Macaca fascicularis: one gene and its partners. The protein of the gene in region 3 purifies or fractionates together with the protein of the main gene of each other region. This does not show direct contact. Links are inferred from orthologs where the notes say so. Each region holds a gene or a part of one and is shown on either strand. Other genes may lie near its edges.

Evidence for each region.
Region 1: the proteins of PRKAG3 (region 3) and PRKAA1 purify together in Homo sapiens (affinity purification with mass spectrometry; 3 studies listed by BioGRID and IntAct, counting the BioPlex papers as one, with this or other methods). This does not show direct contact. The link is inferred for Macaca fascicularis from reciprocal best matches to the Homo sapiens genes PRKAG3 and PRKAA1.
Region 2: the proteins of PRKAG3 (region 3) and PRKAA2 purify together in Homo sapiens (affinity purification with mass spectrometry; 3 studies listed by BioGRID and IntAct, counting the BioPlex papers as one, with this or other methods). This does not show direct contact. The link is inferred for Macaca fascicularis from reciprocal best matches to the Homo sapiens genes PRKAG3 and PRKAA2.

What each region holds. Positions count from the first base shown.
Region 1 is NC_088380.1:41,067,908-41,071,559, forward strand, and holds part of PRKAA1 (5'-AMP-activated protein kinase catalytic subunit alpha-1), read right to left. Parts: intron 2,848-3,652; coding exon 2,703-2,847; intron 444-2,702; coding exon 356-443; intron 1-355. UniProt on the Homo sapiens protein: Catalytic subunit of AMP-activated protein kinase (AMPK), an energy sensor protein kinase that plays a key role in regulating cellular energy metabolism.
Region 2 is NC_088375.1:177,974,795-177,978,446, forward strand, and holds part of PRKAA2 (5'-AMP-activated protein kinase catalytic subunit alpha-2), read right to left. Parts: intron 2,720-3,652; coding exon 2,215-2,719; intron 598-2,214; coding exon 471-597; coding exon of another isoform or gene 415-470; exon of another isoform or gene 380-414; intron 1-379. UniProt on the Homo sapiens protein: Catalytic subunit of AMP-activated protein kinase (AMPK), an energy sensor protein kinase that plays a key role in regulating cellular energy metabolism.
Region 3 is NC_088386.1:114,757,807-114,761,401, forward strand, and holds part of PRKAG3 (5'-AMP-activated protein kinase subunit gamma-3), read right to left. Parts: intron 3,366-3,595; coding exon 3,284-3,365; intron 2,827-3,283; coding exon 2,768-2,826; intron 2,643-2,767; coding exon 2,597-2,642; intron 2,393-2,596; coding exon 2,338-2,392; intron 2,247-2,337; coding exon of another isoform or gene 2,201-2,246; exon of another isoform or gene 2,137-2,200; coding exon 2,010-2,136; intron 1,863-2,009; coding exon 1,697-1,862; intron 1-1,696. UniProt on the Homo sapiens protein: AMP/ATP-binding subunit of AMP-activated protein kinase (AMPK), an energy sensor protein kinase that plays a key role in regulating cellular energy metabolism.

The sequences.
Region 1 (3,652 bases), on a different chromosome or scaffold from region 3:
AAAGCTACACATTACATGTTTAATTTTTCCTCTAAGTAAATAGTAATCCTTTTCTAACTACTAGATATGTTTGCATTATTCAAGTTTCCAGTGTCTTACCTACTTTTTAAACACCCTAGGTTTTAAACTTTCCATTTCTTCCACCTGGGAAAAAAATTAATGTACTCTCTTCTAACAACTTTAATATAATGTTGACTTGTAGTCCTTAACCCTCATTCACATATAAATGTGGTTAAGAATAAGCCTTATTTTTCTTTCTTTTCATTAGAATTAACTATGACACTATAGACTGACAGAATCTAGGATAAAAAGACAATTTCAAATGTATTGAGGGTGGTGGGGTATCAAATACTACCTTCCTGAAATTACTTCTGGTGCAGCATAGTTGGGTGAGCCACAACTTGTTCTTAAAAATTCACCATCTGACATCATGTTTGAAAGACCTGAAAGTGCACAAAATCAGCTACTCAAAAGATTTCCCAAAGACAAAAATTAAAACCCCATTAAACAGTAAAATTGAGTTTGCATTAAAAATGACAAATCATCATTTTGTTATTTGCTTCAACAAAATCCTATGGTCTATTGTAGCCAAATATTCTGCCATTATGCCCTAAAATGTGTAATCTATTTCAACATTTAAAGTTAGTGCACTGTTAGAGTTTAATGCAAATATTAAGCTGTTGGTTATTTTGCTTATTAGAAAAAACTTGGCATGTTTAAGTTTTATTAATACAGAAATTACTAGGGAAAATAATCTATAACAGATGAATAGAAGGATTAAAATTCAAAGTTCCTATTAATCCTGTTCTGATTCTTTAAAAAAATTTTTTTAAAAAAAGCCAGTAATTTTGAATTTCAAAGTTCCCTCGTAGTTTTACTCCAAAAAGAAACCGTTGCTCCCCCAAAAATGCACCCTATAAAAATAATCAACTGAGGAATAAGAAATTCAAATAATTAAGCCAATTACTATTAAAAAAAGAAAAGAAAAAAGAAAGAAACACCAAAACAACCAGCTCAGGTTTGGTTGGCATTTTTCAGTTAATATCTAAACATTTAAGTAGATACAGGTGTAAATATAGATATACAGATGTAGTCAAAACTAAGGAAAATATTTATAAGAATGTTCTCTGGGCCAGACATGGTGGCTCACACCTGTAATCCCAGCACTTTGGGAGACCAAGACAGGCAGATCACTTGGGCTCAGGAGTTCGAGTCCACCTGGCCAACATAATGAAGCCCCATCTCTACCAAAAATACAAAAAAAAAAAAAAATGTAGCTGGGTGTGGTGGCACGCATCTGTGGTCCCAGCTACTTGGGAGGCTAAGGTGGGAGAATCACTTGAGCCTGGAAGGCGGAGGCTGAAGTGAGCAGAGATCACACCACTGCACTCCAGCCTGGGTGACAGAGTGAGACTCTGTCTCAAAACAAAAAACAAACAAAAAAAATTTATCTGATTTGAACTAAAACCAACCTAAAGAAAAGAAGTGCAGAGATTCCTTTTTCACTTAGGTTTAGTAAGGTCAATGGCAATTTATATAGGAAATACAGAAAAAACTAACTTTTTTTTTTTTTTTTTTTTTGAGACCATGTCACACTCTGTCGCCCAGGCTGGAGTACAGTGGCACACTCTCGACTCACTGCAACCTCCACCTCCTGGGTTCCAGCAGTTCTTCTGCCTCAGCCTCCCAGGTAGCTGGGACTATAGGCGCGCACCACCATGCCTGGGTAATTTTGTATTTTTAGTAGAAACGGGGTTTCACCATGTTGGCCAGGCTGGTCTCAAACTCCTGACCTCAGGTGATCCGCCCGCCTTGGCCTCCCAAAATGCTGGGATTACAAGCGTGAGCCATCATGCCCAGTCAAAATAAATTCATTTTTAACAATCAAAATGTTCTTTAAACAAATTATAATTTACTATCATTTAAAACATTTTAAAATAATTTTTAAATAAATTTTTTTAATTAAAAAATTGTTTTAAATAACTTTAAATAATTATAATTCACATAGTTCACTTCTGGCTTTCAAAGTTTTAAATAATTTCATCCCACTCACTTTCCTTCTTCTCCATACTTGATTCTTTTGAACATACTGGAAATAAAGCTGCTACCTTCTCTTCACAAATAATACTCTCTTTTTGAATAGTCTCTCTAATGCTACCAACTTAAGTTGTTTAAAATTTAATTTTAAAGATATTTAAAGAGCCAGGTGCAGTGGTGCATGCCTGTAATCCCCATACTTTGGGAAGCTGTGGCAGGAGGATCACTTGAGGCCAGGAGTTCGAGAGAAGCCTGGACAACATAGTGAGAACCCATCTCTACAAAAATACAAAAGTTAGCCTTGCATGGTAGTGCAGACCTGCAGTCCCAGCTACTCAGGAGGCTGAGGCAGGAGGGTCGCCTGGCCCAGCAGTTTGGGGCTACATTGAGCTATGATCACGTCACTGCCCTCCAGTCTGGGCAACAAAGCGAAACTCTGTCTCTATAAAATAATAGTAATAGTAATAAAGGCATTTAAACCTAAGAAAAGATGATTTCTTAGCTTTTCTTATTTTTGCATGTTCATAGACAAAATAGAATACTTTGACATACTCAGTCTATTACTTTATGTCATCGTTTACAGTTTTCTGAAGAATTCTATATAGGTTCATTGAAACTATAAGAACATTAGAAATGAACGTAAGAAACTATAAAATTATCCTTACCAAAATCGGCTATCTTTGCATTCATGTGTGCATCAAGCAGGACATTTTCAGGTTTCAAATCTCTATGGACTACCATATGCCTGTGACAATAATCCACACCAGAAAGGATCTGTTGGAATAGACGTCGACTTTCTTTTTCATCCAGCTAAGAAAAGTAGAGAGGCATTTTAAAGGTGTGTCTTTCAAAGTAAATTGTCCTATATATAATTCTCCAACATATAAAATTGTCAAAATACATGAAAATCTTCCAAATGAACTTATGAGATACTTTTGACAGGAGGAGGAGATACCTGTAGCACAAAACAGAAATGCTAAGATGGTCTTGGAACCCAAATCAGTAACTCAAGTTTCTAATATTATCATTTGCATATGACTACATTGTAACAGCTTGCCTTCTCATGAGTTATTTCAAATAATTTCAATATCTACTTGAAATGTGGCATATTTTCTTTTATAAGCCGGAAATGTTTAATTTTTCATTCTTATAACAAATATTTACTAAATACCTTCAATGTGCTATACATTGTTTTAGACATTCATTACACAGCAATGAATAAAACAAAGACCCTAATCTAGTTGATGAAAATAGACTAATAAATATAGTCTGAAGGAGTGATACTGTTTTGAAGAAAAACAAAGCAAAATATGGGTACAGTGAGTGACAGTGGGGTGGGGGATACTATTTTAGACCATGAGGAAGTAATATTTAAGCACTATTCATAAACCAGCACGCAACTATGTTGCTATATGTCCCAAAATATAAGATATTGTAACAAGAAATACCTTAATTAATTTAATAAAATATCATAGCATTTTATGTTTAATATGCTTGCTGGAAAAAAAAATCTTATGTAGCAACTACCTTTTTGTTTTTGTTTTTGTTTGTTTTGGGTTTTTAAATTTATATTTTGAGACCCAGTCTCATTCTGTTATCAAGGCTGGAGTTCAGT
Region 2 (3,652 bases), on a different chromosome or scaffold from region 3:
TCTGGCTCCTTGATTGCCATGAGTACCTAAATCCAACCCAAATCCCAATGGAGACCTATTTGGTCACCCTGGCCACCCAGGATGAGGAAAGGTGATGAAGGGGAAAGTTTAGACACTACAATACTAACTAATAAAATATGAATGGAGAAATGTGACAAAGAATCTGACAAATCAGTTAATTTTAAAAAGTGAAACCTACTTCCCTATTGTTCCTTACTTGTGCTCCATGGCCAATACTTCAAATGATTCTTTTATGCCACGGAGATACTTCTTGTGGAAAGATGCCAGGTAAGAGGTATTCAACATGTCTTTCATCCTTTTCACTTCACTTACATTTTGGTTAAGTCTAAGATTACTTAAAAACCAGTGCATGACCTACCCACCGGATGTCTTCGAGATGATTTTAACATCTGGTCAACTAGTGCCAAGTTTTATCTTCTCAGAGCTCATGCAATGCATAGCTTCCTTACCATCAATGCTTTTAAAGTCCAAAAGATAGCTCCTGTTATCAACCAGGTAAAGTTGTAAGCTCATTTTCACGTAATTGCCAGTCACTGGATTTTTTCTTCTTACACGAAGATGGTATGCATTCACTACCTAAAGTGAAAAATCAATAAAAATAATCAACTACAAAATATCTCCCTTTTTATGCAAAAAAAGGTCAAAATAAGTAATTAATAGGGGTGAGATAGGAAAGGAATATCTGAATAATTTTTTTATATTACTGGTAGTTTACTTTAGTATTTATTTAATCCCCACTAGCAGTATTGTATGGCAATTAAGATTTAAAGGAAAAGCTACTTGAATAAATTTGGGGTACTGAAGAAAAAAGTGAAATATAAAAGAAAAAGAGAACCCAGAGATTACATCGGGTCTAGCTTTCACTCTAGATAAGCATCAACTCTAAAACATCAATTATAATTTGGTTGCCCAGTCTCTGCTTGAACCATGTTCATGGATGCTTGTGGAGTAGAAGGAACAAAGAGGACCAGGCATGGTGGCTTATGCCTGTAATTCCAACACTTTGGGAGGCAAAAGTGGGTGGACTGCCTGAGCCCAGGAGCTTGAGACCGGCCTGGGCAACATGGTAAAACCCCATCTCTACAAAAGCATACCAAAAAAATCAGCTGAGTGTGGTGGCAGGCGCCTGTAGTCCCAGCTACGAGGGAAGCTGAGGTGAGAGGATAGCCTGACCCTGGGTTGCAGTGAGCCAAGACTGCACCACTGCACTCCAGCCTGGGCAATAGAGTGAGACTCTGTCTCAAAAAAACAAACAAACAACAACAACAAAACAAACAAACAAAAAAACACTGCATTGAAGGTTCTGGATTTTCAAAACATCTGTGGTACTAGTTTCAAAAATGTTTCAGTACAGAATTTTAAAAATGTTAACATTTCTTTTTTAACTAAATACGACTGCTTCAAAACAAAGAGATCTGTTTTTTAAATGATTTTAAGAAAATATTTATTTCATGTACAGATAATAAAATGAAAATGACTGATTTATTTGAACATGTCAAATGCATATTTATGTGGTAATTTTGCACATTTTTCTTCTTCCTTTAAAAGTTCACAATCCTCAAGAAAAGAACAAGAGTGAAAGGCATATCCGAAGAAAAAAATGCCCCTCCCCACACATATATTCAAATAGAACTGAAATGAAATTGAGCACTAATTTTTAAGAAAAGCAAACTGTGGCGTGAGAGTAAGGAAAATATACTATAAGTATTAAAAGCACTAGCCAAATAAGAGAGAATATCACAACTTGGAGAAAAGTGTTAATTGACTGAATAAATATGTCCTGATATAATTTGTACTGACCACTAGCTATTACAACCACCTGCCTCTGTTCCCTAAAAAGAAAAGAAAAAAAAAACCTCCCTAAAAAAAAGAGAAAGTAAAAACATACTATCTTTGAAGACACTCATGATTTTTCATTGCTATGATGTATGCTGAAACTGGTAAGCTATTTTCTCAGAAGGTTTCTAGTTGATTCCTTTTTTTCTTGACCAAGAACACTGCTATAATTCAAAATATGTTGGTTCCCAGTATCAACCACTTTTCATCCTTACAGAGGTTATTTGTTTTGTTTTTAATGTGCATGGCATATTACTAGAAAAAGATGGGCTTAATACTCAACTCAGGAGCTCAGAGCAGCTTACAATATAGAAAAATGACTTCTACAAATGATCTTATTACATTATAATTTCCTACCTTCCATTCAAAATCCAGCTGCTTCATAGCTCGGTAAACTTCAGCCATAATGTCATATGGTTTGCTCTGACTTCGGATTCCAAGATGCCACTTGGCTTTTTTCACGGCTAAAGATTTGGGCTTAGTCGTATTCAGTGCATCCAATGGACATCTTGCCTTGGGGCTGTCTGCTATAAGAGGTGGCATCCTTTCTGGATGAGGCTTCAGGCCTGGGGGAATATGCATGGCACTATCATCCATAAAAGAACCAGACGGAGGACTAGAGGCGAGGTAGAACTCACTGGCTTGGTTCATTATTCTCCGATTGTCAATGATAAGATGATAAGCCACTGCAAGCTGGTCTTGAGGGTCACCACTATATAAACTGTTCATTACTTCTGATTCTGTACATTCAAATTTTTCACACACTTCTTTCACAGCCTCATCATCAATGACGTTAGCATCATAGGAAGGGTCTTCAGGAAATAAGTAACTGGGCAAATCTTGTTTAAACCATTCATGCTCTCTAGGAAAAACACCACAATACACTATTGTAAGACACGCTTTGGCAAGTCCAAATAATTTAGACATAGGGCAACATAATAGAATATAATCAAAAGATCTGGTCTCTAGACCTAGCTCTGCCACTTACTAGCTATGTGATCCTAAGCAAGTTAATTACCCACTACCCTTGAATAACTATGGTTATTAAGACTTGGCATTTGGCCGACATTTTCTCAAAAATGAAAAAAGCGAGCCCATCGCTTTAAGGAAAACAACCAGCAATATTTGTTGCTAATGATAAAATTCAAGCTTTCAAGCAAAACTTTTGTATGATTTGTATGAGTTTCACAGCTTCTCAATACTTAAAGACTTTCTGATAAAGTTGGTGTTAATAATAATAAATACACTTTTTTTCTTTCCCAACCACTTATCTGAGTGAGGTCAGACCTTCTTTATACACTTCAACTAATACAAAATAATGCAACAGATTGAATGAAGAAGGTATGAGAACCTAGCTGTCTTTGATATAAAGTCATTCTTCTCACAATTTTTTTTGGAAAATATGGTGATTTTTCATGAAAGATGTATTATTTAACATGTAGTAGGTTTATAGTTATTTTTAAGTAAATTAAATATTTTCTTAATTTCTCAGTTTTAATTCTAATACAGTAAATATTGATAGATATAACCTGCATTTTTAAAAATTCCCCTTGAGGTCCTCAATAAGTTTTAAGAGTTACAAGATTTTAAAATCAAAAATTTTGAGAACTGCTCTCCTAAGCCTTATTTTCCCACACTTCTGGGCCTTTGCGCTTGATGTTACTATTGTTATCCTAGAATATCAAACTATTTTCATCTAACACAAACTACTCCTTCGAGATTGTTCAGGCATTACTACCTGGTAGAATTGGGCATCCCGTAAGTTCAGATGAAGACATATTTTGACTGAATGTCT
Region 3 (3,595 bases):
GAAGCTGAGGCAGGAGAATTGCTTGAATCCGGGAGGTGGAGGATGCAGTGAGCCAAGATCGCACCATTGTACTCTAGCCCAGGCGACAGAGCAAGACTCTGTCTAAAAAAAAAAAAAAAAAAAAAAAAAAATCTTAGCCGGTCGTGGTGGCTCATGCCTGTAATCTCAGCACTTTGGGAGGCCAAGACAGGTGGATCACTTGAGGTCAGGAGTTGGAGACCGGCCTGGCCTATATGGTGAAACCTCATCTCTACTAAAAATACCACCCCCCAAAAATTAGCTGGGCGTGGTGGGGGTTGCCTGTAATCGCAGCTACTCAGGAGGCTGAGGCACAAGAATTGCTTGATCCTGGGAGGCAGAGGTTGCAGTGAGCCGAGATGGTGCCACTGCACTCCAGCCTGAGTGACAAAGCGAGACTCCATCTCAAAACAACAACAAAAAAGCCCAACATTCTTGAGGAAATGGAGCAGTGAGAATAAGGATTGGATACCAGACAATAATATGAATTATTCATGGTTTTGTTTGGTGGTATAAAATGCATTTTTTTTTTTTTTGGAGTCTTGCTCTGTTAACAGGCTGGAGTGCAGTGGCGTGATCTTGGCTCACTGCAACCTCCGCTTCCCAGGTTCAAGCGATTCTCCTGCCTCAGCCTCACAAGTAGCTGGGTCTAGAGGTGTGCACCCCCACACCCAGCTAATTTTTTTTGTAGTTTTAGTACAGACAGGGTTTCACCACATTGGCCAGGATAGTCTCGATCTCTTGACCTTGTGATCCGCCCACCTTGGCCTCCCAAAATGCTGGGATTACAGGCGTGAGCCACCGCCCCTGGCCAAAAATACACTTGTTTTAAGAGGTGCAGACTAAAATGTTTAGGGGTGAGATGACATGATGTCTGTAATTTACTTTGAATTACTTCAGAGAAGAGATGAACTGTTTATGGCAATACAGTAACAGTAGTTAATCTAGGCAATGGATATAGGTGGTTCATTATGCAGTTTCTTTGTACCATTTTCATATGTTTGAAGTTTTATATAATCAAAAATAAATTGAAAACAGTTCTTGATATCTATCTTAATTATGGTGATTTTAGCTTTGAAATATTTCATAGCCATCATTCAACCAAAGAAATAATCTTGTCGTCCCTCTAGCCCTTTTTCAGTGTAGGAAACTGAGGTCTGGCTAGGGGCCCGAGGTCCCATGGCACATTTTACTTTTTAAATTTTATTATTTCGTTATTATTTTAGAGACAGGGTCTTGCTCTGTTGCCCAGCCTGAAGTGTCACTGTATGTAAACTCAAACTTCTGGCCTCAAGCTACCTTCTCGCTCTGGCCTCTTTCAAAGTGCTGGCATTACAGCCGTGCACCACGTGCCTGGCTCCATTTTAAGATGAACTAAAACTAAAATCTGCTGCTTCCTGTCACTATGCTCATTTTCGTGCATATAACCTTTTAAATCCTCCTGTGAAGTCAGAAAGATGAGTGTTGTGAAGAATCCCATTTCACAAAGGAGGAAACTGAGGCACAGAGAGGCTAAGCAACCGGCCCAAGTCTCAGAGCAGATGGAGACTTCTAATCCATAGTCCATCCTGTACCCCCCACAGGGATGGCATGGGAACCCCTGCCCTTCCCATATTCTCCCCTGCCAGGTTCTCCCAGGCCCCAGCCCAGCCCAAGCCTCTCATCCTGTGCTGGGTACCACATTCGTTGACCACAGGCAGTGCAGACACACGCCGGTCCACAAAGATGTCCAGTGCAGTCAGGATGGGTGCTGTCTCCAGCACCACAGCCAAGTCTCGGAATGTGCCGATGCCCAAATCTTGGATAGTGCGGTAGAGGAAGGAGGGCCGGGGCAGCAGGGAACCCTGGTTAGGAAGGGGACCCGGTGGAGATCAGGGATCCAGCAGCTTCAAGAGGGCTCCCAGCTCCTCCCTCCGATTCCTAGGGCTGAAGACTCCTCAGGCCCTCTGATCACCCTTCTCCCGCTTCCTCCCACCTGGGCCCAGGCTCACAAAGATGTGCAGGAACTTGAGCAGGCGTTTGTGCGTGAGGATGTGGAGTACGTTGCCTGACACCGGGTCCAGAACAGGCAGGCGATGGATCCGGTTCTTGATGAGGGTGTAGACAGCTTCAAACAGGCTGCAGAGATGGGAGCAGTGAGCCTCGAGGCAGCCTGGGGAGAGACACCCGCCATCCCAGCCCCCTAAAAAGGAGGGCAGAGCACCAAGGCTCCCTTGTCCGTGTGTCGCCTAGGATGAAGAGGTGAGTTCAGAGCTGAGTGGGACTGAGGAAGGGGACTGTGGGAGGAGGAGGCACAGGTGAATGAGCAGGGACACCCACCTGTCATTAGGAGAGATGGAGACCAGAGGCTTGAAGCAGCCTTGCAGGTAGATCTCTGCAGAAAGAGCCAGAGTCAGGCCAGGGGAGCTGGTCACCTGCCTCGCCTTGCAATCCCAGGCAGCTTCCCTTCTTTCAGGCACCCGGGGCTCCTATTGTCCCTCCCCTGTTCGCTCCAGGACATCCCCCCTGCCCATCCTCCGCCTTAGGCCCTGGCCCACCCTCACCAACAGCCCCTTTCCGGGTTCCTCTCCCCACTCACCCCTCCAGGTCTCAATCTTATGTTGTTCAATCTCATAGATCTGGACCTAGAGATATCAACAGGACTCCAGAAGTCAGACAGACATGGGCTTCTAGGGCACCAGGCTCCAGGAGGACTTCCCTCCGCCCCCGCCCCTCTGGGTGCTCATAAGATTCCCAGCCCACTCCTCACCAGGGGGGACCTGTAGTAGCGATGCAGCACCAGGATGAAGTCAGTGATGGTCAGCATCCCTGCAGGGGAGGGGCGGGGAGGAGGTCAGCTTGGGGCCTTTGGGTGGGAAGCAGGTTGAGGATCAGATCCCCTCCCCACCCTGCCAGTTTCCTTGCACTGAGACACAGTGGGGACTGTGGGAAGAGGACAGTGGGACAGCCCCCCAGGCCTGAGAAGTGGGGCTCTTTCTCTCCTGCCTCCCCGCATTTGCTCCCTAGCACCTACGGCATGGGGCCATGCAGTAGCAGAGCTGGAAGGTGTCAGCTGGTCACAGCGGCTCCACAGATGGAGAAATTGAGCCCCAGGGTCTCCCAGCTGGCCACGCAGACTCGGGACGGACTTTCCCCCACCCTGGCCCCTGGCTGGGCTTGGCCTGAAGCCAAGCTTGTGCTATATCAGAGATTGGCCCCAGAACAACCGTATGAGGTCCCCACCTCCCCTTCTCCATCTCCCTTCACCTCCCCAGCCTCTTCTCACCCACAAAGCTCTGCTTCTTGCTGTCCCATAGAGGGGCTGCCCGCACACCGTTGGCCACCAGAGCAAAGAAGGCCTTCTTGATCTGAGGGGCCAGGGAGAACAGTCAAGGGTGGGTCCTGAGAGACCCTCACCCTCCTCTCTGCCCCTCAGTGGGCACCTCCCATCTGCCTGCTGTCCCCTCCCTGTCTCACCCAGGGTTCTTCCATGGGGCCTTCTCCTGGACCCTCCTCTACACCAGCTGGCCTGTCTTTCTCATGACACAGTACACACTAGACATGATCATTGCTGCGGACATGTGGTACATAGATAAGG